2 linked regions of the Oryctolagus cuniculus genome follow. The protein of the gene in region 2 interacts with the protein of the main gene of each other region in a pairwise test. Links are inferred from orthologs where the notes say so. Each region holds a gene or a part of one and is shown on either strand. Other genes may lie near its edges. The genes, in order: VPS4B and ZFYVE19.

What was found.
Region 1: the proteins of ZFYVE19 (region 2) and VPS4B interact in binary tests that used the Homo sapiens proteins (3 or more experiments, as listed by UniProt). The two-hybrid records come from large-scale screens. The link is inferred for Oryctolagus cuniculus from reciprocal best matches to the Homo sapiens genes ZFYVE19 and VPS4B.

The regions. Positions count from the first base shown.
Region 1 is NC_091441.1:15,189,220-15,204,328, reverse strand, and holds the start of VPS4B (vacuolar protein sorting-associated protein 4B), read right to left. Parts: upstream 7,758-15,109; 5' UTR 7,421-7,757; coding exon 7,394-7,420; intron 1-7,393.
Region 2 is NC_091443.1:63,946,153-63,961,392, reverse strand, and holds ZFYVE19 (abscission/NoCut checkpoint regulator), read right to left. Parts: upstream 8,580-15,240; 5' UTR 8,453-8,579; coding exon of another isoform or gene 8,442-8,452; coding exon 8,379-8,441; intron 7,243-8,378; coding exon 7,121-7,242; intron 6,946-7,120; coding exon 6,892-6,945; intron 6,498-6,891; coding exon 6,379-6,497; intron 6,282-6,378; coding exon 6,136-6,281; intron 5,845-6,135; coding exon 5,736-5,844; intron 4,857-5,735; coding exon 4,647-4,856; intron 4,270-4,646; coding exon 4,190-4,269; intron 3,912-4,189; coding exon 3,813-3,911; intron 3,684-3,812; coding exon 3,556-3,683; intron 3,480-3,555; coding exon 3,401-3,479; 3' UTR 3,088-3,400; downstream 1-3,087. Other genes in the region: PPP1R14D (protein phosphatase 1 regulatory subunit 14D), read left to right, coding at 1,240-1,323, 1,501-1,533, 1,687-1,752; DNAJC17 (dnaJ homolog subfamily C member 17), read left to right, coding at 8,839-8,916. UniProt on the Homo sapiens protein: Key regulator of abscission step in cytokinesis: part of the cytokinesis checkpoint, a process required to delay abscission to prevent both premature resolution of intercellular chromosome bridges and accumulation of DNA damage.

The sequences.
Region 1 (15,109 bases), on a different chromosome or scaffold from region 2:
TCCCAGTGAGAGTCAAGTTGGGAATTGATAATTTCTTTTTTTTTTTTTTACAGAGGATCAGTTTAGTATACATTAAGTAAAGATTTCAACAGTTTGCACCCCCATAGAAACACAAAGTGAAATATATTTTTGAGTACTCGTTATAGCATTAAATCTCAATACACAGCACATTAAGGACAGAGATCCTACATGAGGAGTAAGTGCACAGTGACTCCTGTTGTTGACTTTACCAATTGACACTCCTGTCTATGGCATCAGTAGTCTCCCTATGCTCCAGTCATGAGTTTCCAAGGCTATGGAAGCCCTCTGAGTTCTCCGATTCTTATCTTGTTTAGACAAGGTCATAGTCAAAGTGGAGGCTCTCCTCCCTTCAGAGAAAGGTACCTCCTTCTTTGAAGACCTGTTCTTTCCACTGGGATCTCACTCGCAGAGATCTTTTGCCAGAGTGTCTTGGCTTTCCATGCCTGAAATACTCTCATGGGCTTTTCAGCCAGATCCGAATGCCTTTAGGGCTGATTCTGAGGCCAGAGTGCTATTTAGGACATCTGCCATTCTATAAGTCTGCTGAGTATCTCACTTCCCATGTTGGATCACTCTCCCCTTTATTTATTCCATCGGTTAGTGTTAGCAGGTACTAGACTTGTTTATGTGCTCCCTTTGACTCTTAGTCCTTTCATTATGATCAATTGTGAACTGAAATTGATCACTTGGAATAGTGAGATGGCATTGGTACATGCCACCTTGATGGGATTGAATTGGAATCCGAAAGGGGAACTTCTTTATGAAGTGGTCTGTGTCTTGATCATGGTATTGCACATATGAACCTTCACCTGATAGAACTGCACAGGAACACACACACAGGTAAAACTGGGGAAATATGAGTAAGAGCTGTAGAATGCACCAATGTCAATATCCTGGTTATGATACTGTACTAGTTTTACAAGATGTAACTGTGTGAAGGGTACATCGGATCTCTCTATTATTTCTTAAAACTGAATACAAATGTACAATTACCTCAACACAAAATTTTCATTAAAGTTATCCTTGAATTTTAAAACAATGCACAAAACACATACAAATAAAGAAAGAAGCATGATTAAAGCATTCCAATTGGGTTAATTTCGGCAGTAAAAGTGAAATAAATGCAGACAAAAAAGATCATGCTTACCCAATACTAAAAATAAGTTATAATTAATCTAAGTAAAAATCATCAAACAATTTCAAAGCCAATCATACGTCAGAATGATATACTTTTAAGTAGGTGTTCATGGAGTGGATAGGGATGGCACCAAATCTCCCAATGGAGAACCTACTTCCTCTGTTGTGGGAGGAACCACAAGCTAAGTGGTATGCTTTAGAATTGATAAAGTGTAGCAGTTACACTCTCATGGTTCAAACAGTCTGAACACACAGCCAAATTCCTTCCCACAAGCTGAGGCAGCATGGCTCCCTTTCTAGACCTACCCCGGAGACAAGTCCTCAGAGAGGTGCTCCGCAGGTCAGGGACATGCTGCATCCCTGACGTCCCCTCTCCCACACGCTTTTCCCATCGTTACCAGTATATTTATTCTAAACACACTGACCACCTGTACCTTTACTAAGGCGAGCTTCATGAGAACAGGACTCCCATCACCAACCTAATCTGGGCTGGAAGGTGATGGCTACAGTACACAACTGCTGAATGAGTGAAAAAAAAATCCTGTTTTCTCAAAATCTTCCTCTGTTTGGTTATCCCACCTCTGTCATCTCTAAGTTCTCTCCACCAGATATTGTCTCCATCAGGAGACAAATAGTCTTCCCTAAAAAAGACCTATAACTCAGGGTGGTGCTGTGGCACAGTGGGTTAACGCCCTGGCTGACGCACCGGCATCCCATATGGACACCGGTTCTAGTCCTACCTGCTCCTCTTCTGATTCAGCTCTCTGCTGTAGCCTGGGAGAGCAGTGGAGGATGGCCCAAGTCCTTGGGCCCCTGCACCCACACGGGGGACCTGGAGGAGGAGGCTCCTGGCTCCAGCTCCAGATCGGAGCAGCTCCAGCAGTTGCAGCCAATTGGGGAGTGAACCATCGGATGGAAGACCTTGCTCTCTCTGCCTCTCCTCTCTGTATAACTCTGACTTTCAAATAAATAAATAAATCGCTAAAAAAAAAAAAAAAAAGACTAATAACTCTCCATCTTGGATCTGTTTCTCTGCTACCTGTCAGAGCCACAATCTCAACAGCGGAGCCTCTATTCTCTCCTTATCACATCAAGGGACTCTGCGGTGCCAGGCTCAAGGACCAGCTCCGTCTTCACCTTGGTCTGCTGATAACAAGGTCCATCACTTGCTTCCTGGACACTGTCCTCTGCTGAGCCCACTGGCACCATTCTCCTGGTTTTCTTCCTAGCTCTCTGGCAGCTACTTTTCAGTCTCCTCTGTGGTTACATCCTCTTATAGGATGAGGTTTTGCTTGGGGCTCACATTTGCTTACTGTTCCTCCTCCCGCCTGTTGTCTATTTTCAGTGATTCATGGCTGATGATCTCTGGGTTGATGACTACCCAGTTAATTCAATTTAAAACCCATACGCTGAGCAGTTAACATGCCTGCCTCCCACATCACAGTGCCTAGGTTAAATTCCCTGCTCTGGTTTCTAAGTCCTGCTTCTTGATAATGTGGAGCCTGAGGGGCATGGGGACACCTGGGTTCCTACTAGGGGACCTAGATTGCTTTCCCAGCTTCTGGCTTGAGCCCTGGCCAACTCTGGTTGTTGCAGGCATTTGGAAAGTGAAACAAGAGATACCAGCTCTTTCTCTCTTTGTCTCTCAAAATAAAACACAGCTGTCCACATCACTCCTGTTTAAAATCCTTCCAGGCATGTTATCCCTCTCTCTGTGAACCTACGTGGGTTTTATTTTTGTTCTCTCACTGGAATGGAAGCTCTGTAGGGACAGGAGTTATGTCTGTGGTCTGCACTTGCTCATACTCCCAAGACTAGCACAATGGCAAGCATGAGAGTGAATGACTTCACTGCCCCAGGGTCAGGCAGCACCCAGTTATCAATATGGAAGTACAAAGGTTGGGAACATCTGGGACAGCCCTTTCCAGATTAGGAGACCACAGTGCATCTGCCCTAGAAACCCCTGCAAACTGGCTATCTACCTCAGGAGCAAAGATGTGCTAGGGCAGTCAACGCTAATTCTTCTGTGTTTCTGAGCTGGTCCCCACCTTTGCAGCATTTACGCCCTCAATGGCATGCCATGGCATGCTCTCTCCTCAACCTGTCCCTTGTTTGAGAGGTCCTTCCTTATCAGAAAAACATGTGTAGTCCCATTTCAGACTCGTACCTAAAATTCACCAACTCTCTTCAGTTCCCAGGGTCCTTTCTTGCCACCATCTTACTTAGTTCTTCTAAGCAAAACCTCAGAGTACCCCAAATTCATGTTTCTTGAGCTCTTTCGCCACAGCAGTGTTTTCTGCCCTGACTGCCAAATCTCACCTTAATTCCCTCCCTACAGCACTTAACACTAACAACAAACTCTTGGACAGTGTCTCCTCTTTGGCCTTCAGGACAGCATCCTCCCATGATTTTACTGAGCTGTCCACTGCTTGTTTTTCAGATTCCCTTTTCTCTTTCCTTAAATGTCAATATCCCATGAGGTTCTGCCCTGGTCCTTATTTTCCCTCATTCTGTAAACTTTCCAAGATGGGACTCACCATGCCCACAACCTGTGCTACCATCTTTATACTAATAACTCCAAAATCCTTATTCACATCCAAGGCCATTCACCCTAGTTCTACACTTCTGTATTCAGATGCTGATTGGACATTTCCATTTGATTATGCCCATGGGCATTTTATTTTTTAAAAAAAATTGTATTCATTTTGAGAGGAGGACGGGAAGAGAGGAGAGAAAGTGAGTGAGCACCCCACTTGCTGGGTCACCCTGCCCCCACAAATGTCCACAAGGGCTATGGCTGGGCTGAGGCTGAAATCCACAGCTGGGAACGCAATCCAGGTTGCCTTCATAGGTGGCAGAGATTCAGCTACCTGAGCCATCATCTGATGCTTCCCAGGGTCTGCATCAGCAGGAAGTAGAAATAGGAGTCAGAGGTGGGTATCAACCCAAGCACTCCAACATGAGACACAGGTATCTTAACTGTTAGGCCAAATGCTTGTCCTGCTGCACGGACATTTTAAACTCAACAAAAGCTAAAGCTATTTTGCTTCTCTATGTCAGTCCCATAACACTCCTTGATACTTCTCCTTTTGTATTCCACTCAGACATCCAATGCAGAATCCTGGGAGGAAACCCTGCCTTTTCTCTTTCCCTCACAGGCACAAGCCTGACTATCCTCCCCAACTTTTCTCCGACGATACCTTTCTGCTTCACTGAGAAAGGTATTTACGCTAAGGTGGCCCCTTACGTTCTGCCATCAACAGACCCCAACTCCTAACTGGTCTCCCTGATTCCAGTCCAGTTTCTCCCTGTACACAGGACAGTCTCATTCTAAAACAAAACACCTGAGCAGGTTACTCCACTGTTGGAAACCCTTTTATGACTCCCATGTAGAACAGGATGATGACTGTTTATGTGGCACACAAGACTCCTCGTGATAGGGCCTAACCCTCGGGCTTGTGCCCCCACCTTACAGTAAGTCCCAGTCATCCCAAACTACTGGCATGACCTAGTCCAGCTCAGCACGCATGTCTGCCCAGAATGCTCTATTCCAACCCATCCCTGTAAAACTCCAGCTTCTCCAGGGCTCTCCAGGCATGGCACTCTTGCTGCAAAGCTCTTGCTAGCAACCCCTGGACTGCTTTGTCTGCACTTCCTCTAGATTTCCACTGCCCCCTGTACATACCTTCTATGACCACACTATATTCTATTGGTCATCTTATACTTGTATGTCTAGTTTCACATCAGCATGTAAGCCTTCTGAGGTCACAGATTACACACAGACACATACACAACATGGCATTGTGGACACAATATTTAGGATGAGTAAACTTTTGAGTTCTACTTCATCTACATTACTTGCAATTCTCCCCAAAGGATTTATTACACTTTTGGATTGAGGAACAAGTCATTTTTCTCTGCCTGGAAAGCATTCAACTTTTTCAAGAGAGTTCAGTTTTGTAGTGAATTCAGTAGACAGATCTGGATTCAAAACTAACCTACATACTAATACTTGTATGTCTTTGGGTCAACCATAAGCTTAACAAGCTTAGGTTTCTTATACTGTGAGACTCCACCTTGAAAAGTTGTTTTAAGGATTGAGTGAGAGCACATCAAACACCAAACAGACAATTAGTGTTAGCACTGTTCACTTTATCGAAGCGCACATCAGCTCCTCTGTGACATATTCGTCATGTCCTCGGAAGACTGAGATACGTCCTTTCCTTCTGTGCTCCCACACTGACTTCTAACTCTATCCCAGTATTTGTTAAATTACTTTTTATTATTTTGATTTTTACATTATGAGCATCTGGCTACAGAGGTTTCTGCCTTGCTCACTGGAAAGGTTATTCATTATCCGAGTAGTTTTCATTCAAAGGACTTGATGAGGGGCGGGAGTTCAGCCTAGCAGTTAGGACTCCAGTTAAGATGCCCATGTCCTGTACCAGAATGCCTGGATTCAATGCCAGCTCTGGCTCCTGACTTCAGCTTCTTGCTGGTATAAATCCTGCAAGGCAGTGGTGATGGCTCAAGTAAACGGCTTCCTGTCACCTACGTGAGAGGTCTGGTTTGAGTTCTTGGCTCCTGACTTTGATCAGGCCCAAACCCAGCACTTGAGAAGTAAACCAGCAGAAAGGAACTCTCTCCATATATATCTGTCTTCCTCAAAAAGAAAAGAAAGGGTTCAATGAGAAACACAAGAGTGAGTCAACCCCTAATCAAAGCCGTAACTCAACATCCTTCCTGTTTACTACTGGCCTTTAACACCTGTCAAACTCTAGCTGATTCACTGAAGAACATACAACAATCCAATTCAGGTTGATGCATTCTGATTACAGAAGAAAACGGCAAATCTCGCAGAAGAAAGGTATCAGCAAACGGATGAAAATCTCACTGTGGAATGCCCGGATCAGACTCAAAGTTTGTGACAAATGAAAAGCTGACAAAATAAAACTAGTTAACAGACAACCAACGAGGGTGATGACAAGTGTGAACTTAAAATCACCTTTAATACTCAAAGGAACAATATCTTACCAAACAATAGATATTTCTACAAGGTACATTTACCAGAAAGATCGTTTCTGAATGGGGCTATCAAACATCTCCGGATCACGTGGCGACTGCCCCATCTCAGTTTAATACCTTAGTGGAAAAAGACATATAACTTTTTCTTAATTCTAAGAAATGAATGATTCCTGCAATTATAACATTTTGTGAATGCTATAAAGCATTTATTTTCATAATCTTTTGGGTCCAGTTTCAACGTAAACGTCCTAAGCAAGCTCTTCTCCCACGTTCTTGTTTAGATGGGTCTGCTGGGGTGGTCTTCCCTCAGGATGGAGTACCCAGGGTTAAGGAGAGCGCTCTTTACTTTTGGAGTCTGTATCGGGCCCTCAATAAATAAATGCCTGTCCAACAAACTACTGGAAGCCCAAGACGACGACGGAAAGTACACGTCTCATGGGACACTTCTGTACCAAATTGACAGGCAGGACTGGGAGTCCTCCAGGCCCAAGCCCCTCTTAAGTCCCAGATCCATTCTGGGGGTGGAAGACAACGTTACATACATTTCTTATTAAGAATTCCACTCTACAGGCGACTAACGATTGAGTCTCAAATCTTTGAAGTCCATGATTTACGTACAAAATGCTGCGCTCACTGCGGTGAAAGCGAAGAACTGGAGGCACGGAGGTTTACAGATGCCCCCTGTTCTTAAAGATGACAAATGGGGCGTCTCAGAACAGCGCACACGCACACACACGCACACACACCCCGAATTCGCGGCGACTGCACGCAGGCTGGCTGGAACCTCGGATTCCAAGGCTGTGCTCATATTTCTGCCACTTGACAGCTCGAGAAAAGGACTTTGGCTCTATCAGCTCGAGGAACACAAAAAAGTGGGACCACCCTACGCTCAGCCGGCAAAAACTACGTTCCTGCCTCTCTTCTTTGCAGCGATGGGAGACACTGGCCCACTCTGGTCCAAGCTCGGCTGGTGCTTTCCTGTTTCTGTTTCGTTTAGAAGCTCCACACCAAGTCAAGGGTGTCACACAGCCAGTGGCCCAGGAGACCCTCCCAGCCCGCCGGAAACGCCCCCTCGGCTGGAAGGCGCCCACTCCCCGACCAGCGGCCGCGCCCGGCCCCGCCCTCCTCCGCCCGGGCAGGGGCGCGGCCGGTCTTCCCTCCTCCCCGCCCCCCACCCAACTGCTCTAGGGCGGCGCAGGTAGCATGATACCTGGAGATTGGGGCTACTGGATGACATGGTGGAGACGCGAGGCGGTTCCCCGGGGTCCAACGGGGTGCGAGGAGAGCCGAGAGCAGGGACCTCGGATCGTGCCCAGTGTTACGGCCCCACACCTGGGGAAGCTGGTGGCTCTCGGATCACAAGCGAAGGCCTTCTGTCCGGAACTTGTTCTGAAACAACACTGCGCTCGCCAGCACCGGACCCTCTTCAAAACTTCCGCAAACCCGAGCCCCTTCGGATCCTAGTCCCGCCTCTGGCCGGGGCACTTCCGCTTCCGTCATCAACACGCGCTCTACGCAGTCACCACCCTGTCGGCCTCTCACTGTGGCTAGGGACTTCCCAAGAAGTATCCCTGAAGCCAGCCAACGCCTGGCGGAAGTCTGGCTTTGCGCCTGCGCTCTAGAGGCAGAGAGCCAGGCTGCGCGCAAGCGCAGGAGGACTTTCATTAGCCCTCCGGGGTATTGACTTTGCTGGGGAGTGTTTGCTGTGGGGGGCGGGGGAGAAAGAAAAGGAAAGAAAGAGCTGAGCATCAGGAAACCATGAGGATGAATATAATCGGGTTCTTGCTATTTTAGAAGTTTAGTGGAGAAGACACCAAATGGTTCGACGAATTGAATGAGATTTATGGTGATCCGTGTGTGCCAGTCTATTTTAAATGCTGGCTATGAACAAAAAGTGAAAAGAAAAAAAAAACTTTTTTTTTTATTTGTGGATGTGATGTACCCCCTGGGGCCCTGGTGTTCAATGAGAAAGGAACATCACCTTTCCGGCATTATTGCCAAGAATCTGTAATCTCAGGCTAACCCTGAGAAAACACGAGAAAAATCCAGGTCGGAGGTGTTCCTACTACAAAATAGCTAACCAACACGCTTCAAGAAGCGTCTGGGTCGTGGAAGACCAGGGAAGACTGGGGCCGGCCACAGGCTGCAGACGGAGACACCAGTTAAATGCGGTGCTGGAGGAGATGCCGGAAAGAAAAGTATCCGTTGGAAAACTAAAACAGAATAACGTCTGTAGTAGAGCCAGCAGTCCGGGATGGGGATTCTCTACACACTTTTGCAACTCTTCTGTAAATACTGTTTGAAACTAAAAGCTTTTCTTTTTGAAATTCCTATTCCCTGGAACCTTAGATTCTAGTGGAATAGAAACTTTTTTCCTTTCACATATTTAAAACCCAAATGTAAATATGTTACATTGTAACCGTTTACAAAGTACTTTCACGTACTAGCTCTGCCAGTTAGAATTTAAAGCTGGCAGTTCATGTAAATGAGAACTAAACCTCAGATCAATAGAAGTTCCCCGAACCATACAGCTCTTCTCTGGCATGGCTGGTGTCTGAAGTCCATCCAGGGTCAATGTCAGATGAGGCCCTGACAAGAGCTACAATAGAGTCAGGATGTCCCGTGGGGCCACAGGAGAGAGAGTACTCCATCCTGAGCCAGTGGTTAGGGCCATCTTGGAGGAGTGTCATTTAAACCCAGTCTTGGCTGGCATCACGGCTCACTTGGCTAATCCTCTGCCTGCTGCGCCGGCACTGTGGTCTCTAGTCCCAGTTGGGGCTCCGGATTCTGTCCTGGTTGCTCCTCTTCCAGTCCAGCTCTCTGCTGTGGCCCGGAAGGGCAGTGGAGGATGGCTCAAGTGCTTGGGCCCTGCACCCGCATGAGAGACCAGGAGGAAGCACCTGGCTCCTGGCTTCAGATTGGCGCAGCACGCCGGCCGTGACAGCCTTTTGAGGGGTGAACCAACGGAAGGAAGACCTTTCTCTCTGTCTCTCGCTCTCTCTCATTGTCTAACTCTGTCCTGTCAAAAAATAAAATAAAATAAAATAAATTAACCCAGTCTTGGGGCTGGCACTGTGGCACAGTGGGTTAACATCCTGGCCTGAAGTGCCAGCATCCCATACGGGCACTGATTGGAGACTGGGCTGCTCCACTTCCAATCCAGCTCTCTGCTGTGACCTAGGAGAGCAGTGGAGGATGCCCAAGTCCTTGGGCCCCTGCACACATGTGGCAGACCCAGAAGAAGCTCCTGGCTCATGGCTTTGGATCAGCGCAGCTCCAGCTGTTGCGGCCAACTGGGGAGTGAACCAGCAGATGGAAGACCTCTTTCTCTCTCTCTCTGCCTCTCCTCTTTCTGTGTAACTCTGACTTTCAAATAAATAATAAATACATCTTAAAAAAAATAAAAAATAAACCCAATCTTACTGATTTGGACAGACAGGTTTGAGGGCTGGCTGGAAGAAGGAGAGCCATGGCAATGGAGTGGCCAAGGAAGCTTAAAGTGCCCCACCCAGCACCTCCAGATGCCCAAGGCATTGAATCATGAGGAGTTGGACTTGGACTTTACTCTGAGGGCAGAAGGATTTGTTGAGCGGCTCCCCCCTCCCCCATTCCCCATCCTCCTTCCCTGCCTCTCTCCCTTCCTGCCTGCCTTCTTGGCAGAGGTATGATTTGATTTGATTTTGGTTTTATAAAGATGAGTGGACCAGGAAGAGGGTGACGTGGGCAGATCATGTCGGAGGTTGCTGGGGCAGTCACAATGGAGAAATAGAGGTGTGCAGAGCCCTGTAGGGCACCCCTTGTTCCTGGGGCACAGCCCCTCCCTACACTTCCTTGCCTCTTATGCTCAGTTGCTTTCACTGATTCAGCCTGTTAAATAAAATCACACCGATTTTTCAAGTGCCAATTCCAAAGCCACTTCCTCAAGGAGCCTCTGACACTCTCCACTCTGATTGCCCTGTGGACCTTGCACGTCCCACAGGTGATGTGTGCTGATTGCCTAGTACAGCGCCTGGCACTTGGCAGATACTTACTCATTGTCAGCCTCCCTGGCATGTGTCTTGTCTTTCCAGATTGTAAAACCCCCAAGGACTCAGCCTTCGTCTTACTCATTTTTGTAGTTTCTTATGTCCTTACACCCAGAATGTTTGGCTTATATGGCCAAGGTCTGTTGAACACAGCGAAGCTTACCTGCTTGAGAGGGAAATGAGGGAGGCCAGGGAGCAGGCAGGCGGCATTTCAGAGTCAGCTTTCAGCTTGGACTCAAGAGCAGCCTGTTCAGGACTGAATCCCTTTCACTCAGACCATTTTGAAAGGAAATGCGTATTAGAGTCCTCACACAGCCTTGCACTTGGAAGTCAGGTCTCTACTTGTTGTCAGCTCCCTGCCTGATGCGGACAGCAGCCTCGGGGAAGACAGTGCTGGCAGGACCAGTGCTGTGAGAGGAGTGACTCTCAGGCCCTATGTGTTGGGTCTTGACTGGTGGTGGAGCCTTCTGAATGTGCCCAGTTACCCTGCAGGTCCAGCCCCTACTACTCATTTGATTCACGTGAAGAGACAGCCAGCTTGTGGACTGCTGAGCAGGTCTGGGGATCAGCCCTCACCAGCCACCAGCCACGTGCTGTGAGTGGGGAGGAGGTGGCCGTTCCTGCCCGTTGACGACACAGGGTGGGTACAGTGTGAGGCATCCGCCCGGCGGGGAAGATTGCAGACTGACATCATCATCTCCCAGACTGCAAATACTTGGTATCCAAGTAATGTGCCTAAGAAGTTGGTTTCAGGGACTGGCGTTGTGACACAGCACGTCCAGCTGCCGCCTGCATGGCTGGCATGTCATATCAGCACTGGTTTGAGTCCCCGCTGCTCGACTTGCCATCAAGCTTCCTGCTAATGCGCCTAGGAAAGCATTGGAAGGTGCTCCAAGTGCTTGGGCCCCTGCCAGCTATTTGGGAGAACTAGATGGAGTTCCAAGCTCCTGGCTTCAGCCTGGTCCAGCCTTGGCCAGTGTGGCCATTTGGGGAGTGAACCAGCAGATGGAAGATCTCTCCTTTTCTTCCCCTCTTTCTGTAACTCTGCCTTTCAAATAAATAAAATTAAAAAAAAAAAAAGTTGGTTTCAAACACCATTCCCCACTCCTGCCCAACTTTTCTTGTCTTGAACGTCTTTTGTTTCTTCCCACCAAAATGCCTTGTTTGCCCTTGTTTTAGTTTTTGTATTCAAACATCTGTGGCTGAGAGTGCTCCTTCTGTTGTAGAGAGGTGGAGAACTTTCAGGGTATCAGCTGGAAGCTGTATTATTCTGGCTTTTTCCCTTTCAAACTTCTCAGCAAAATGAATTCTAATTCATTGATCTTTGCCAATGCATTAGGAAAAATTGCGTTTTGTAATCTAAAATATGCTTTGCAATGTACTCACAGTTTGCTCCATAATAGTGCAGTGTGGGGTGGACAGGCTGGGAAGATGAGTGTGGCAGTAGTGACAAGGGAGTGGCCAGGAATTGATGATTTCATCTGAGAAAGGTTGTAGAGTTCATTGAACCAGTGAAGTTTTCTATAAGAGGATTATTTTTTAAAAAATATTTGCTTATTTGAAAGGCAGAATGACAAAGAGAGATCGAGAGAGATTGAAAGAGAGAGAGAGAGAGAGAGAATCATCTACCTGCTGGTTCACTCTCCAAATGGCTGCAGTGGGCCAGGGCTGGGCCATGTCAAACCAGGAGCCAGGAATTCCCTTGTGGGTGGCAGGGACCCAAGCACTCAGTTTATCTTCCTCTGCTTTCCCAGGCACACTAATAGGGAGCTGGATTGGAAGTGAAGCACTTGGGCCACCTACTGCTGCTTTCCAACTGGGAACTTCAGCAGGGAGCTGAATCAGAAATGGGGCAGCTGGGACTCAGACCGGCATTCGTACGGGATACCGGCATCTCAAGGGCCAGCTTACCCTATTGCAGCACGACGCAGGTCCCACATGGACCTCTTTATAGTACTGCATTTCCTCAGATTTAAGAAAACATTATATCTTTATTTATTCGAGTATCCTTGTATGTTTCTTAATAGTGCTTTCTTTTGCTTTATATATTTTCTGAACAATTGCTAAGTATTTTATTATGTTACTGTTCTATCATTAATAATATATTTTCTCCTCATATTTTCTAGTGGGTTGTGGTATATATGCAGAGGTTAATTTTGGCTGCTACCTTGTTTCTAATAGATTGTCAATATATGCTCCTAAGTTTCTAGGTCAATAATAAAAACTTCCGCGAACAGTGGTATCTTTGCCTCTTTTTTTCATAAAAATCAAGTTCAAGAGTAGGTATCCTTGTCTTCTTCTTTATTTATTTATTTGACAGGTAGAGTTATAAACAGTGAGAGAGAGACAGAGAGAAAGGTCTTCCTTCTGTTGGTTCACTCCCCAAATGGCCGCCACGGCCGGCGCTGTGCCGATCCGAAACCAGGAGCCAGGAGCTTCTTCCTGGTCTCCCATTCGGGTGCAGGGCCCAAGCACTTGAGCCATCCTCCACTGCCCTCCCGGTCCACAGCAGAGAGCTGGACTGGAAGAGGAGCAGCCAGGATTAGAATCCGGTACCCATATGGGATGCAGGCACCGCAGGTGGAAGATTAACCATGGCGCCGGGCCGTCTTCTTCTTCTAAACTTTATAGTGTCTCATATACAGTCATTTTAAATGTTAAATATGATTGTATTGGTTTTCTATTGCTGCATGACCAACTAGTACAAACTCAGCCACTTAAAAACAACATGCTTTTACTTTCTCACAGCTTCTGTGGGTCCAAGAACAGCTTAGCTGAGTTCTGTGCTCAGGATCTGACAGGGCTGAAATCAAGGTAGAGGCTGGGCTGTGTTCTCATGTTTCTCTGGTTGGAGGTTTATCCAGAAATGGGTATGCTCCCAAGCTCCCTGAGGTTGTGGGCAGAATGCATTTCCTTGTGATTCAGGATGACTGACAGCTTGCTTCTTCAAAGCCAGGAAAGTACACACACACATATGCGCACACACATGCACACTCCTGCGTATGCGCACACATGCACACACGCATGTTGAGTCTCTGATTTCAAGTCTCTGACTTTGGGGAAAGCTCAGGCCCTCTTTTAAAGGGTTCATATGGTTGGTCTGACTCACCAGGATAATTTCCTCGTTGAACTCCAAGCTAATTACATCTGCAAAATCCGCTTAACATTACCTGTATTCTGTTGATTTGAAGCAAGTCACGGGTGCTGCCTGAGCTCCAGACAATGCATGATTCACTGAGGCCACCTTGGTGTGCGTCCCCCATAGTAGTATTTCAGAACATATTTCTATAAAAGAGACCGGAGGAATGAATGCTTTCCTCTTAACAGAAAAGAAATATGTAAGGTTTTATATAGTAAACACTGCATTCACAAGCAACTATAGAATTTTTGTTGGCACTACATATATGTGTATATATATATATTTGTAATTTATGTTTATGAGACTAAGACAACAGTTATCTGTAAAGTGCTACCTTGGGACTCATATGGAGCAGAAGCAATTAATTCAGAAAAGAGGAACTTGTCTCTGAGCCTTCAAAACATGTTGACCAATACTTCTTCCAGCAGCAAAAATAATTTGGACGCAGACGCCCTTGCTGTCCACAGTGATTCTTTCCAGTTGTTGTTGTTTTTCCATACAGGCAAAATTCCCCCAGATCACTGTCACTACATCAACACATAGATCTGGGGAGAGGGTTTGCACTGGAATCACTTATAGTCTATGGACTAGTTTCAGGAGAAGGATCTAGGAGACCCCACTCTCCATCCCCCATCCTCCAAAAAGATTAGCACCATCTCCCAAACAGCAATAATGTTATCATCAAGCTAATGTCCACCTCTATAAGCAAATGAATTTCACTTCTTGGTGTTTAAGTGAACGATTTCTTGGTAATTATAGCCTACATTAGTTGTTTAGTTGTTCATTGTCCCTTTGATTACAAAATCAAGTCAACCAAAAAACATTAAGCAGAAATGAAGTGCATGCAGCGTAAGACCAGCAATCATGTACTGGACCAGAGAGGCTCAAATATGATGTCTGTAGTAGCTTCTTTTTTTCTTTTTGAAATGGTATAATGCTGTATTCACTTTTGTAGAATCTCATTGTACGGACTTCGTGCAAGTCTTTGTGGAAATCTAAACTGTGTTCCATCTTCCTTTTCAAGGTGAATACACATAATTTTTTGACACTGAACATATTTAAAGCAGATATTGTGTCATGAGAAAAAATAAATTGGCTATAGTTTAAGGTAGAACACATGATGAAGACCCATGATTTATTTTCTAGCTAAACAGTCATTGGTCCTTTGGTAGCTATCTGGAGGGTACCACTCCAGGTACAAGCATATGGGGACAGGGCTGGGGATCCCTGAGGAAAAGTCAACCCCAAGGAGCTTTAAGGTTGCAGATGGGCTAGTAACATTCTTTGTGATTTATTAGTTTCCCTAGTTAGCATTTAAAGATGGATTTAAAAGTGGTGTATTTCAGTGGTGAGATTAAAAACCCCAAAATTGCCAAACATGAAAGATATTTTATTGGAAGCTGTGGTTGCAGTGCATCTTAAGGTCAATATTTTTGTTGAAGAAGACATTCAGTCCTGTTCCTACTCTAGCTGTAGCTATCTTGGGCTTTGGACTCAAAGTATATGAAATGTAATGCTGATTTCTACATGAAGACAGCTGTAAACCCTAGGACTCTACGAAGAGGCAATAGGATTGGTGATACAGTTATGCTTGAATCAGTTATGCTTTTCAATCACATGATCATCTGATCCTAACTGAGATTCTATTGGATATGCAGTACTTGAATTCGATGTTAAAAAAAAATGAATGGGGCAGGTGTTTGGTGCAGTGGTTAAGATGCTACTTGGGATGCCTGCGTCTCACATTGGAGGGCCTGGCTCT
Region 2 (15,240 bases):
TTTAATTGGAGGCCGAGGTTGTGGCATAGTGGATTAAGCCATGGCCTACAGTGCTGGCAGTCCATATGGGCGCTGATTCGAGTCCTGGCTGCTCCACTTCCAGTTCAGCTCTCTGCTATGGCCTGGGAAAGCAGCAGAGGATGGCCCAAGTGCTTGGGCCCCTGCACCCACATGGGAGACCTGGAAGCTCCTGGCTCCTGGCTTTGGCTTGGCCCAGCTCTGGCCATTGCAGCCATTTGGGGAGTGAACCAGCAGATGGAAGACCTTTCTCTGTTTCTCCCTCTCTCTCTCTGTAACCCTGCCTTTCAAATAAATAAAATAAGTCTTCAAAAATTTTTAAATTAATTTTATTTCAAAGATAAAAGGGGACCGGGGAGAGGAAGAGGGTAGGAGAGAGAGATCTTCCTTCTGCTGGTTCAGTCTTCAAATGCCCACAAAATCCAGGGTTGGGCCAGGCTGAAACCAGGAGCCTGGAACTCATTCTGGACCCCACACATGGGTGACAGGGACCCAAGTTCTTGAGCCATCACCTTCTGCCTCCCAGAGTGCACATTAGAAGGAAGCTGGAATTGGACACTAGGCAGGCCCCAGTGCAGGCACTGCAACGTGGGCTGTGGGCATCTGAAGCCGTGATCTGATTGCTGTCCCACATCACACACCCCTGGATACTCTGTAAAGCACTATTTCAGGTAGAAGATGGTAGGAGTTCAGTAAATGTTTGCTGAATAGAAAAGTAAGGGTTTTTTTTAAAGCTTTATTTATTTATCTGAGAGGTAGAGTTGCAGACAGAGATGGGGAGAGACAGAGAGATCGTCCATCTGTTGGTTCACTTCCCAAATGGCCAGAGCTGAGCTCAACCTGAAGCCAGGAGCCAGGAGCTTCTTCCGGGTCTCCCATGCAGGTGCAGGGGCCCAAGCACGTGGGCCATCTGCTACTGCTTTCCCAGGTCATAGCAGAGAGCTGGATTGGAAGAGGAACAGCCAGAAAACGAACTGGTACTCATACTGGATTCCAGCACCACAGGCAGAGGCTTGGCCTACTGTGCCATAGTGCTGGCCCTAAAGTACTTTTACTTTCTGAGTAAGGTGAGGAAAAGGGCTGAATGTGGGAGGAAATTGGCGGGTGATGTGGGAAATTCAAGGGAGATGGGGTGGGAGATGGGTGAACCCCTGACCATAACCTCCACTCCAACACCAGCTGGTCAGGCCCCTCTGAGACTTGTTTGCGATTCCCAAACAGGATGAGTCAGTGACTGCTGACATTGAGATTGACCTGGAGGCTCTCATGGAACTCTCCACAGAGGAGCAGAAGACTCAGTTGGAGGTAGGCTCGGGGTGGAAGCTGGGCTCCCATCCAGGGCAGTCCAGGAACCCAGGCTCTGCCTACTTGGTTGGAGTGGGAAGTCCCAGTTCAGAGGGCAGAATTCTTAGGCAACTGAGTGGGGGGCTCGGGCGAAAGCACTGTGGCTCAGGGACCCCATCTCTGCTCTTTCCCACCCAGGACCTTCTCCGAAACTGTCCCCGCCCCACGGAGGTAAGGGATGTGCTGCTGGCGGTGGGAGAAGGGAGCTAATGGAGGGCGAGGCTTGGCCCAGGCGCCTTGGTCCTTCCCCTGCTGTGGGGAGCTAAGGAGGGCAGTGCGGCACATGAGACCTCACGCCTGCTGTCCCTCATGTGTCTTCCTCAGCCTTTCATCTCAGAGCTGCTCAGCCAACTCAAGAAATTCCGGAGACTCAGCCGGCCTCAGAAATAAGCCTGGAGACAAGATGCTTTGCCAGGCCTCCCTGCATCACAGCTGAGGGACACAGCGCCCCAGGACATGGGCAAGGGACACCGAGGACAAGGAGGGACATTTGTACACCCGGTCATGTGCACACAGCTGGCTTCTGTTGGCTGGGCTCCGAGAGCCACTTATGGCTGTTCCCCAGTGCTTTTCTTGGCTGCCAAATGGATAAAACTTTTAGCAGCATCAGCTAAATGGAGTGTGGAGCATCTCTGTGCAGAGGAAGAGGGGAGGGAGAGGGTGCAGTGATACCTTGGAATGCCAGCATCCTAAGTCACAAGGCTGTGCCCCACACTGCATCCATCCATCCATCCAAAGAGGACAGTCACAGCTCTGCTGCAGAGAGATCACAATCCAGCGAGGCCCAGGGGCCATGCCAAGAGCCAACACACAGCATACTGGCATCGCCAATGGGAGGGCCCAAGTGGCAAGGACTAGCTTCGTATCCCAGAATGGAGTAACAGGAAAAATCTAGCTCAATCTGGGGCTTCAGAGAAGGCTAAACTTCTTTTTAAACAAAATTTTAATCATTTTCACTTTATTTGAAAGGCAGAGAGACAGAAAGAGATCTTCATCTGCTAGTTCGCTTCCCAAATGCCTGTAACAGCCAGTGCTGGGCCAAGCCAGAGCCAGGAGCCCAGAACTCAGCCCAGGTCTCCCAGGTGTGCAGCAGGGACCCAAGGATTTGAGTCATCACCTGCTGCCTTCCAGGGGGCACATTCGCAGGAAGCTGGATCAGAAGCAGAGCTGGGGACTTGAACCAGGCACTCCAATATGCGATGTAGGCATCGCATCCCAAGCAGCAGCCTAACCACTGTGCAAAAGCCCACCCCAGACCTTCTTGTTCTCACAAATGAGGCAAGAAGTCTTAGGCTAAGAACTCTCCTTTGAGCTGGTTCCAGCTGGAGGCAGGAAGAGAAAAACCTGGGTGATGCAGAGAAAGGTGAAGGGTACAGACTGAGGTCAGGGGAGTTGTTGGAAGACAGACACCAGATCTGGGTGGCAGGCAGGCTGGAATGGAACTTCCTCCGAGGCAGGAAGCAGGTATGTATGCATGGTTTGAGTACCAGAGAAGCAGAGATCCAAGATGGTGCGGCCTGGTGGCTAAGCTGGGCTGCCCAGAGCCTGAAGCACAGTTCAGGTGCCTGAATATTCATGCTTACTTAGTAGGCGGTCACCAGGGTGGGTGGGACTGTTCCTGTCTGGAGAAGCTAACAGGACGGCTCCTTCATTCCACAGGACTGCCTTTATACCCTGCCCCACACTCAGGCCGCCTCTCGCCTCTCTGAGAGAAGAGATACCGGATGCAATGAATCAACACACTTTATTAGAGCCACTAGATGCCAGCGGCTGGCCCTGGGGCCCTGGAGCCAGGTTCCAGGGCTGCTCCTGAGATCTGATCTTTCCCTGTTGGGCCTTTCACTTCCAGTCTGGCCTTCGCCTCCCTTCCGCTCCTCCAGTCGCTGTCTCTGATGGAGAACCTACATGCTTCCAGGGGCTGGGAGGCTCAGGGAGGGCTGTGGCCTTCATGCCGCTCTTGCCATGGACGCCCCGAGGCCGGGCCCGGAGGTGGGTGTGGCAGCCTGTAGTTCTGCTTTCCCAGGAGGCCCGGGTGTCCTCAGTGCACTCGGCCCCTGTGCGGGGGCCGGTAGGCAGATGTCTGGTGCTCTTTTAGCTCAAAGGCATCATGGCCCTCCCTGAGAAGGAAGGGGTGCAGGTCAGGGACCCAGGGTGGCTCCCGAGCCCTCCCCAGGACGTGGTGTCTGCACCCACCGGAAGCAGCGGGCACAGTAGAGGTCTCCGTCGCAGCCTGAGCAGCGCAGGGTGGCATCCTCGTTGCAGATGCAGCACCAGGGAAGCTCCTCGTCCTCAGCCTCAGGCGTGGTGGCCTTGGCCTGCGCCTTCAGGGACCAGAGGGGACAGGGCAGGAAGGTCCCTGATGCAGTCTGGGAGGCGGCTGGGGGAGCAGTCAGCCAGGCAGGGAGCAAGGCTGGGCTGCATGGCGCACGGCTGTCGGGGGGTTTCCTTACCTCAGGCTCTGCCCTACGGGCCTGGGCCCGGGGTCGGGGAGCCGGCCGTGCGGGGATGTTGAAGCCACTTGCCTCATCCAGGGCCGCTTCCTCAGTGAGCTGTGTGTAGGGCAAAGAGGTCCCACTCCCGGCCCCGCGCCCAGGCTCCCCCTCTGCCTCCCCCCTCAGCCCATCTTCCTTGATCTATCGGCAGTAGCTGCTGATTCCCATCTCAAGGGACGAGGGGCCAGGTCTGGGTCAGAGGGCCAGTGGAGTCCCCAGGGGGCTGGGAGCCAGGGTGGCTGCGCATGCAGCCCGCAGGTGGAGGCAGGGTGAACAGGGCCCAGTGGGTAGTGTACAAGGAGGCAGAGAGACAGGACGAGGTGAGCCTGACCCACCTGCTGCAGGACCCTCTGGATGGCTGTCTCCTCATCCTCATCGTCGTCGCTGTCTGGAAGGCGGTAGTCCTGTAGGGTCACTAGAAGTGGGAGGGGGCCAGAAAGGGGGAGTGAGGGCCGGGGACTCCACCTGAGTGGCTGACTGCTTGCCTCCTGCGGCTGGTTTGGTTCCCGGGGCACCTGTTCCGGAGCTGAGAAGCCTCCGCAGCCCCTCTAATCAGAGCGGTGCCCTAACAGGCAGAACCGGGCCATCAGTGATGTGGCCTTGAGGGCTGGGGGTGGAGCTGGTTCTGCCTCAGTGCCCATATGGACCAGAGGCCCCACCCTGATGGCTGCCACTGATTCCTCAGTCACTGCTTTGCCCCAGTTCTGCCTCCAGGCAGGGCATGACGCAGCTCTGGGCACACGGACACCAGCAGCGAGCGAGCCCTGGCAGGGCAGCAGCGCCAGCCTTTACCTCTCTCCGGGTCCTGTCCCCGCAGCACAGCCAGCCGCTTGGCAAGGGCCAGGATCCGCTCCTGCCTCGTGTTCTCCTCCCGTAGCTCCACGGCTGCCTCGGCCAGCAGCCTGCTCTTCTCCTCGTCCAGGGATGAGCTGGCCTGCCGCTGGGGACGAGTGCTCTGGCTCCCTGGGCCACCCTGGTTGAGGTCATTTTGGGGACAGGCAGCTGGAAGGAGTAACGTGGTCAGGGAGCCGAGGCTTTCCAGGTCCTCTCCTCACCGAGCCCATTCCTCAACTACTTAACCACCATCACCAGCTTTCTGCTCAGCACAAGTGTCTGTGGTCCATCTTCAAATACACTGGTGTTTCCTCCTCTGTTCCAACTGTCTTTCTCCACCACCGCCACCCCCATTCACCTGACATTTTAACGTGTGGACCTTGGCCAGGAAAAAATCTCTCTTTCTCTTTCTCTCTGTAATCACCTTTCAAATAAATAAATCAATCTTAAAAAAAAAAAAAAAAAAAAAAAAAAAAGAATGCTCTGGGATGTGACGTCATCCCAGGTTGAGAACCACTGCTCTGAAGGCTTTAAGCAGCACCATCCAACAGAATATTCTATGACGATGGAAGCGTCATTCTGCAGGTTCTCTGCCTACACGTACATGATGGGAGCCATGAGCCAATTTTGCATTTTATTTAGTTTTAATAAAGCTAAAGTTAAATAGTCTCTTGCACCTCCTTGTCGTCGTCATGATCCTCATCTCAGAACAACCACTGAGCACTTACTATGTGTGGTCCCCAGCACTGCTGGATTATCTCATGTACACACTGTGAAGTCGGTTGCAATGGCCATACCTCCATTTCCTGACAGTAAAGTGAGACTGAGGCCGTGAGAGACACACGCCTAGGCTCCCAGAGCTAGTGTGTGGCAGAACCGGGAAGCGCTGATCTAAAGTCCACACCCTTAACGACCAGGCTAACCCTGGCTTCCTCGGGCAAGCACGCAGGAAACGGCAGCTGCTCCGGCGAGTGTCCCTTCCCCCAATTCACATTCACCTGGGGAAGGAGGGGAGGCAGGTCCCCAGGGAGCCAATGCAGGGCTTACCTGGGCTGTCTCGCTCCCAGCGCTCATCAATAGCCACCTCAGCTGCCAGCTGCGTTAGCAGGTCCTGTGTCTGCTGGGCCTGTGTCCTGATGTCTGGGCCCTGATGTGCCTGCCCAGACGAGGGGAGCTCAGTGGGGAGTGAGGTAGGGAGAGAGCCACACAGAATGGCCGAGAATCAGCCTGGGCTGGACCAGAGCCCAGGGCAAGGAGCCGAATCCAGGGCGTGCTGATTAAGCAGGACTGGCGGTCCCCAACAGGACAGAGGGTCCTCTCTGTCCTGTTCCACCCGGTCCTGCTGCCCATGCCCGAGGCTCAGAAGGTAGAGGTGGGCATAAGCATATCCGGGCTCCTGCCAGGCCCTTGGCCTGGGAAACTTTCCCTGCAAGGCTGTAGCACTCACCGGCTTGGGGGTCTGAGAAGGCGGAGCTCTGCCTTGCAGTAGAGCAAGCCGTGTCTCCATCTCCTGGGTGGAAGGGATGGAGCCCTGGGGTTCATCCTTGAGCGCGGCCAGCCGTGCCTCTATCTCAGCTTGCGAGGGCACCGACTCTGTAATAGGCGTGGAGGACCCAGGTAAGGACCGGAGGAACCCCAGTGTCAAGGCCTTGGACCATGTCCTTTAGGCCTCCTGCCTGCCCCCACTCACTAGGCTTGTTCTCCTGGCGGAGTCGGGCCAGGCGCTCAGCGATGACCTGGTCTTGCTGGGTGAGTCCTTGGCTCCGGAGGGTGCTGGACTCCTGCTTGGCTCCCAGGGCTGCCACGCGCCTGGCAGGATATGAGAGAGGCTCTCAGAGAGGCAGAAGGGAGGAGTGAAGGCACCCACTGACTGCTTCCAGTTCAGATCATCTCTGGGCACCTAGGGAGGCCTCGGATGGGCAGTCTCCTGTGGTCCTTGCTTGTGTTGCCCTGCTGCCCAAGCCAGCCGACCGGCCAGAGGGTCTGAGAGGGAGAGAGCCACCAAGGGCCTTTCCCAGAAGAAGATGATGGGCTGTTCTCTGAGCACAGTGGCTTGAGAGGGGGCAACCTCCTGGCCCTATGCTCGTCTGATCTGGAGGCTGGGAGGGGAGGCCCACCCGTTGGCTCCATCTCCTTTTTCTGTCTCTCCTTTCTGGGGCGACGAAAGGCCAGAATCCCAAGCTATTCCAAACCTGACACTTACTTCTTATAGTTTTGAGGTGGTGACCACTTGGAAGCATTGGCAGGAGAAGACCCACTATAGAGAAAAAAATCAAGAAATTTAGTGTCGGAAGTCCTGCCACCCCACCGGTCAGTGTCCACTGCCCTCAGACACCCCCTGGGTGACCTCCAGCCGCAGAGCACGAGGCTGTGAGGGCTGGCTTATGCCGCTGCCATGCCAGGCTGGCTCCTCGCCCAGCCAGGCCTCCTACCTGGTGAGGGCCTCATGGCACTGCTTGCAGACTTTCTGTTGCGTATTCCCAGCACGAGGTACCACTGCGCTGAAGCGAAGGCAGCTGGAACAGAAGGCTCGCCCACAGTTCTTACAGCCACACTACAAGAAACACAAAGCAGGAGGATCCTCCTCCCGCCCGTACCCCGAAGGCTCTCCAAGCACAGAGAGAGGGAGAGAGGAGACACTGAAGTTGTGACGGGCTGCTTGGAGGAGGAAGAGGAGTGGGGTCCCTAAGGTGTAGGGAGACAGGGGTGAAGGGGAAAGCAATTGCTCGGTTTCCAGCCTCACTCAAATAAAATAAAGCTTCATGCAAAATCCCCTGTTTTCTGATGTCTTCGATTCCCTGACACAGCACCCAAAAGACGGCCAGGCAAAGCCCTTTGCTTAGGGCCATGGGATTCTTTCACAAAGACAATGAGAGAGTTCCCGGCCTCCGCCTTCTCTGCTCCAGAGGGCAACTTGGCTCTGGATGGGGGGATAACAATAGCTTGCATTTATTAAGCACTTACTGTGTGCCAGGCACTAAGCTCAGCACGTAGCTTTCATCATCTGGCTGAATCCTCAACGATACACACACGTCATCTGACCTGATCCTGATGGCCACCAGTGTCACCACTAGTTTAGAGGGGGCAGAGAGGGTGCCCAAAGTCACCCCGTGAAGGAGCCAGCAGAGCTCCTTGACTCCCAAACCCAGGCATCTACTGTAGGTCTGCTTCCCTCGGTGCCATCCATGCAGCCCATCTGTTTCCATCACTTCCTGATTGAGGTGCCCTGGCCACAACCGAGGTTGCACTTAACCAGGGGAACTTAGCAGATCAGTGCTGAGGACAAGAGAGCCTCCCCCGCGCGCCCTGGGGGTGGGGGCGGGGGGGGGGGTAAGTGCAGGCTGCGGGATGGCACTAACTGGCACGGTGTGATACACGGGGTCACCGGGCATTACACAAGATCGGATGGTGAGAGGGAAACAGCCAGACTCTACACCAGGCGGAAAGGCACAACTTTCCAACAACGGCAGCAGCGTGCTTAACAACTTATAGGCTACGTTCATCTACAGCAACTCACTGGACCCTCACGAAAACCCCGAACGCGAGAGTGAGAGTGAGAGCCCCACTTGGGAGACAGATTCAATGATGTCATCAAAACCACACAGCTGGAAAGCGGCCTTGAAACCAAGTCTTCGGACTGCAAGTCCCGTGCTTTCCCCCGCACTCCGCGTCCTCCCTGGCCCTTCAGACCTCGGAGAGAGAAGACTCGCCTCCTTCTTGAAGAGGGTGAACTTGACAGCGCAGCAGTAGCATCTGTTCTCCATCGTGGATCCCGGCGCGTCACGATCTGCAAAGTGGAGGCCACGCCCACCCGGTCCAGGGCCCCTGGGACCCTCACCCTACGTCGCCTAGCCCCACACGCCCCCTTCAAGCGATCGGGCTGTGGCCTGGGGCGGGGACTCAGAACGCCCGCTCTACCAACTAGCCAGGGAGCGGCGGCGGCGGCGGCGGCGGCGGGGCGGCGGCGAGTGCGGGGCTGCTGGGAATCGTAGTCCTTTCATGACTGCCACCTCCACCAGAGCCAGTCAAGCCGAACCTAGAACACAATTCCCAAGAGGCTAAGCGCCATCTGGCCCGCTCGCATCCGGCAGGCCCTGCGTGCGCTTAGACTCCTGGGAGTTGTAGTACGAGTCAAGTCAGGGCTGGAACCATGGCGGTCACCAAGGAGCTCTTACAGATGGACCTCTACGCGCTACTAGGTATTGAAGAGAAGGCGGCGGACAAAGAGGTGAGAACGGTGGAGAAGAAGGCCGATCCTGAGCGGTCTGGAGGCCCTTCCTGTGCTGGCGCCTCGCTCGCCGCGGGTACCTGCTTTCCAGGTTCGGCCGGGCCCTGGGCGGGGAGCGAGGGGCTGCCCGACGAGCTCGCAAGGTGGGCCCCCAGACCTTTCCTGGACGCTCTGAGAACCTCACGGGGAGGGGACGGGGAGCACAGAGGTGTCCTTGCGACGAGTGTCCATGCTCGCCCTGTGGCTTCTGCGTGGGAGAGGCCGCGGGGTGAGCCTGCGGGGTGGGGGAGGCCCAGCCTCCTCTCTGCGCCTGCGCAGTCTCAGCCTCCGCGTCCGCTTCGGGCTTGGCTGTGGCTAAAGGCGCTTCGTTTCAGTCTCTTTGGCAGGCTGATTTAGCTCCACCTGGAGTGGAAGAAAGGTCAGCCCTCGAGGTTTCTCCACTCCCACTTCATCACTTCTTGGCGGTGTGGCCTTTGACCCACTCTAGCCCAAGGGCGCTTTCGAAGTAGCAGGTGTTCAGGTATTGGCTTTCACAGCACCTGCTAGTAAATGGGCCAAGAAAGCAAGGGTCAGAAGGGCAAGGCGGGTGGCCTGGGGTTCCTCTTCCCATGGGGGCTGATGAAGGTGCCAGGGTGTGAAACCGTGATGAAGCAGAGGCTTATCGCCCCGCATCGCGGTAGTAATTCTAACACCGTAGCAAGGAGAGGCAGATAATTGATGGGATGAAAATTAAAGCCCACTCTGCCCCTGTACTTCCGGATTTCCCTGCTCAGGGGCTGAGCGAGCTCTGAGAAGAGGAAACTGGGGCGGAGAAGCCAGGAGACCTAGAGAGTCCCTGAGAAGAGGTGTTGCCATCCTGCTCAGAACTGTCTCCTGCAGCTGCAGCTGAAATCTAGAGTGGCTGTGGGGATGTTCTACCCAGGCCGAAAGCACCTGCTCCACCTCTTATAATTCTTAATATTTCAGTATTAGTTGTGCCTAACACCTGTGTAATGCTTACTGTATGCCAGACAGTATTCCAAGTACTCTATATTTGTAAGTTGTATAACTAGTACTTTATTAATAGTGAGAAAATATTTGGGACATTTCACACAAGACCCAGCCAGTGTGAAATCTGGAGTTTGGAACCCTGAAGTTGAGAACTCTTGAGGAAGACAACTGGGAACCGTTGAAGTGTATTATAGTATTAATCAGAGTGGTCACATAATAGGATTTTCGGTAAAATGTTCAACATCGGTGTGCGGAATGGCCCTGGAGGGCAGTGGTGGGTGGCTGTTGTCCAGGCAACAGACTAAGCTGGGCACTGGTTGCTGAGAGTTCTCACTCAGGTGAGATAAGAATATGAGAGAAGGCTCTGCATGAAGGGTGACAGCCACTGCTGCCTTTTAGTAGGGGAGGCAATTTCCATGCACAACTAATTCAAGGGGCACGTGGTGCATTCCACAAGACAGATAAAGCAAAATGCTATGCATGTTCAGAGTAGGCCAGGATTGCTTCTGGATTGGGAGAAGAGGTGGGAAAGTAGGGAAGGCATTTGAGGCTTTGAAAAGGGGGCAGGATTTGGACAGGTGGAGGTGGAAGACTGGCATTCCAATAAAGGAGACAGTGTGTATAGTCCACTTTGTCTAGAGCACAAGCTAGGAAGTCATAGAAGGTAGGCCTTGAAACGTGGTGGCATCCCCATGGAGGCCCAGCCTGTGGCCCTGTTTCTTAGTAACCAGTTCTCCTTTCCGGCACTTATTTCAGTTGGCAACCATTTGTTCATCTGTGTGATTCTTCGTCTCGTGCATACTCCCCTCTGTGCTCCGGTCTGGTAGATGATGACTAATACATAGTAGGCTCTCGGGAACTATTTGTTTAGTGAATGATGTAGCAGCTACAGAGATCACTGCAGCAGCTTGACTTGAGAATCAGGAGACTGGGGGCGGTCACTGTCTCTCTCAGGTCCTGACTTTCCCCAAATGGAAAATGAAGGAGTAAGGCGAACTGTGGTTTTAGGGATCCAATGGCCAATGGCCTTTTTAAAAAATGAATTAAGAATGCTTTTCAGGTTTTCCAAGATTGTAAAAACAAACACAACTCAATAACAAAAAAAAAATTCAAAAAGTTTAAAAAGATTTATTTATTTATTTGAAAGGTAGAGTGACAGGGTGAGTGTGACAGCAAGAGACAGAGAAATCTTCCATCCACTGGTTCACTCTCCAGATGCCTGCAATAGCCGGTGATGGGCCAGGCCAAAGCCAGGAACCAGAAACTCCATCCGGGTCTCCCACATGGTGGCAGGGACTCAAGTACTTGGGCTGTCATCTGCTACTTCCCAGGCACATTAGCAGGGAGCTGGATCAGAAGTGGAGCAACTGGCACTCAAATTGGCACCTCTGATAAGGCATGTGGATGTTGCAAGAGGTGGCTTAATGGGGCTGCCACTGTGGTACAGCGGGTTAAAAGCCTGGCCTACAGCGCCGGCATCCCACATGGGCACCAGTTTGAGTCCCAGCTGCTCCACTTCCAATCCAGCTCTATGCTATGGGCTGGGAAAGCAGTAGAAGATGGCCCAAGTCCTTGGGCCCCTGCACCTGCTTGGGAAATCTGGAAGAAGCTCCTGACTCCTGGCTTCAGATCCGCCCAGCTTCTATTATTGCAGCCACTTGGGGAGTGAACCAGCAGATAGAAGATTCTCATTCTCTCTCTCTCTCTCTCTCTCTTTCTCCCTCTCTCTGTAACTCTTTCATTTAAAATAAATCTTTTTTTTTTTTAATTTTTTAAAAAAGGGGTGGCTTAATATGCTGGGCCATGATGCCTGCCCCAAATGTACCACATTTTTTTTATTCGTTCATCTGTTGATGGACATTTAGGTTGTTTCCACCTTTTGGCTGATGTGAGTAATGCTAGTATGAACGTGGGTGTACGGATCTGTTTTACTTTCCACTTTAAATTCTTTGGGGTGTATCCAGAAGTGGAAGTGCTGAGTCACGTGGTAATTCTGTGATTAACGTTTTGAGGAACTGCCTTACATTCAGCCTTCCCACCAACAGTGCATATGAGCTTCTATTTTTTTGTATCCTCAGCAACATTTCTTTCCTTTTTTATAAAAAAGATTTATTTATTTATTTGAAAATCAGAATTAGAGAGATCTTCTATCCCCTGGTTCACTTCCCAGATGACTGCATTTTTTTTTATGTTTATGTATTTTCATTGTATTTGAAAAACAAAGAGAGATCTTCCCTCTGCCGGTTCACTTCCCAAATGCCCACAACATCCCGGGCTGTGCCAGGCAGAAGCCAGGAGCCTAGAATTACATCCAGTTCTCAAATGTGGGTGCAGGGACCCAAGTACTTGAGCCAGCATCTGCTGCCTTCCAGGGTGCAGTAGCAGGAAGCTGGATCAGAGGCAGAGGAATCAGGACTTGAACCAGGCACTTCAGTGTAGGATATGTGTGTCTAAAGTAGTGACTTAACCCCTGTGCCAGACACCCACCCAATGCCTGGTCCTTCATAGATGGTCAGTAAATCCTTGCTGGGTGACTGACTGAATAAGGATTATTGTTTTGTTGTTGTGGATGTTGCCCTACAACCACCATATATTATAGAGCTGACCCCTGATCCTGGTGATGGGCTTATCAGTAGGATTTCTGGTAGTGAACACCGGCACCAGGGCCTCCAAACTTTTTGCATTGGCAGTGGCGGGGGTGGGGTGGGGTGTTCAGCTTCCAGCAGGTCCTCATCATACTGGATGAAGATGTCTTTGATCTCCACATATTTCTTTCCTTTTTTTTTTTTTTTGTTTTTTTTTTTTTTGACAGGCAGAGTGGACAGTGAGAGAGAGAAAGCTCTCCCTTTTGCCGTTGGTTCACCCTCCAATGGCTGCCGCGGCTGGTGCACCGCGCTGATCCGAAGGCAGGAGCCAGGTACTTCTCCTGGTCTCCCATGGGGTGCAGGGCCCAAGGACTTGTTCCATCCTCCACTGCACTCCCTGGCCACAGCAGAGAGCTGGCCTGGAAGAGGGGCAACCGGGACAGAATCCGGCGCCCTGACCAGGATTAGAATTAGAACCTGGTGTGCTGGCACCGCAGGCGGAGGATTAGCCTATTGAGCCGCGGTGCCGGCCCGATCTCCAAATATTTCTGGTAACAGGCTGCAGGGGTTTGGAGATGGACTGGTGGTAGCATGAATCTGAGCCACATGACTACCACCCTTCACCCTTCACTTGGACATGGATGTCCACGCCAGCAAATTGTTCCGTGCCCAGAAGCAGAGCAGGCTGCAGTAGCTTGTACTGTGCCATGCGCGTGGCTCAATCATCTTCAGGGGCTTCCTGTTCACCTTGATGAGGCCGTTGTCCCATATGCAGCACGTCCGAAGTCCTGAAAGGACTGTAGCGGGCGCTTGGATGGCATGGCTCCGGCCGCACTGCAGAGACCCTTGCAGCGAGACCCCACAACCTGAAAAGGAAACTTGGGGCCATCCAAACTGCGCAATCTGCACAGGTGCTATGTTTTTGTTTTTGCTTTTTGTGATTATTGTTTTCTTTTTTTTTTAAAGATTTATTTATTTATTTGAAAGTCAGAGTTGCACTGAGAGAGAAGGAGAGTCAGAGAGAAAGAGAAAAATCTTCCTTCTGCTGGTTCACTCCCCACTTGTCCGCAATGGACGGGGCTGTGCCAATCCAAAGCCAGGAGCCTGGAGCTTACTCCAGGTCTCCCATGTGGGTGCAGGGACCCAAGGACTTGGGCCATCTTCTACTGCTTTCCCAGGCCATAGCAGAGAGGTGGACTGGAAATCGAGCAGCTGGGATTCGACCCACTGCCCACATGGGATGCCAGCACTGCAGGTGGAGGCTTTACCTGCTATCCCATAGCACCAGCCCTAGTTATTGTTTTCTTAGGAGTATTATTTTATGACTAAATGGAATTACTAGACCAAAAACAATTATTTTTACAACATTTTGATTCATAATGAAAATGAGTTTTATTTATTTAAAAGACATAATAATTTTTATTTTATTTAAAATTTATTTAATTTATTTTTTTACCTAGAAACCTTTTATTTAAAGTATACAAACTTCATGCATTTCATACATACAAATTTAGGAACATAGTGATTCTTCCCACCCTTCCCTCCCTCTTGCAAGAGGCATAGAAATTTTGGGGCGGTTGTACTTTGACTTCCACCAGGTGGGTAGGAGAGCGCTGGCCTCCCTGCCCGCAGTCCTGTCTCAAAAGCAGGGTGCTAAGTGTGCAGTGCTGTACCCAGAGCAGGAAATGCTGAACCTTTATGAAACCAACCTGGATACAGTTCTCCCTGGTTCTTTTTTGTTTCCTTTCCCTTTCTCCATGTGTTTGTCCACAAACAACATTTTTTTTCTATTTTTAAAGATTTACTTATTTATTTGAAAGTCAGAGTTACACAGAGAGAGAAGGAGAGACAGAGAGAGATCTTTCATCTACTGGTTTACTCCCCGCTTGGCTGCAATGGACGGAGCTGTGCCAGTCCAAAGCCAGGAGCCTGGAGCTTACTCTGGGTCTTGCCGTGTGGCTGCAGGGTCATCTTTGGCTGCTTTCCCAGGCCACAGCAGAGAGCTGGATTGGAAGTGGAGCAGTTGAGACTCGAACCAGTGCCCACATGGGATGTTGACACTGCAGGCGGTAGCTTTACCCACTACTCTACAGTGTCGGCCCCTTGATGTATCTGTTTATTTAAAAAGCAGAATGACAGAGATACAGAGACAAATCTTTCATCTGCTGGTTCACTCCCCAAATGTGTGCAATGGCTGGGGCTGGCCAGCCTGAAGTCAGGAGTCTAAAACTCCATCCAGGTCTCCTGTGGGTGTCAGGGGCTGGAGTTCTTGGGCCATCATCTGCTGCTTTCTCAGGCCCATTAGCAGGAAGCTGGATTGCAAGTGGAGCAGCTGGGATTCAGCCAGCACTCCCCAGACCTATCATTTTGAAATGCACAGGCTAACATTGGTAATTCTCCTAGAAGTTCACATTTTCCAGTCAGCTAATGATTTCTTAGAAAGACTCTTAGTGTAGAAGATAACAGTTTTTATAACGACTCTTGGCAAGTAAGGCCAAGAACTCTTGCTTGGTGAGCATCTGTCATGTTGAGAATGGGTGGAAATCCTAACTGGAACATTGAGCAATGTTGGGGATTGTAAATGTGCCTTTATAAGCACCTTTGTACTTATTAGCAGTTATAATTAAGAAAGTGGACCTTGGAGTCAGATTGCCTGAATACTGACTGACGACTTACCTAGTCTGTGACCCTGACAAATAATTAACCTCTCTGCCCAAATGGGAATGACGATAGCATCGTTGTGAGGCTT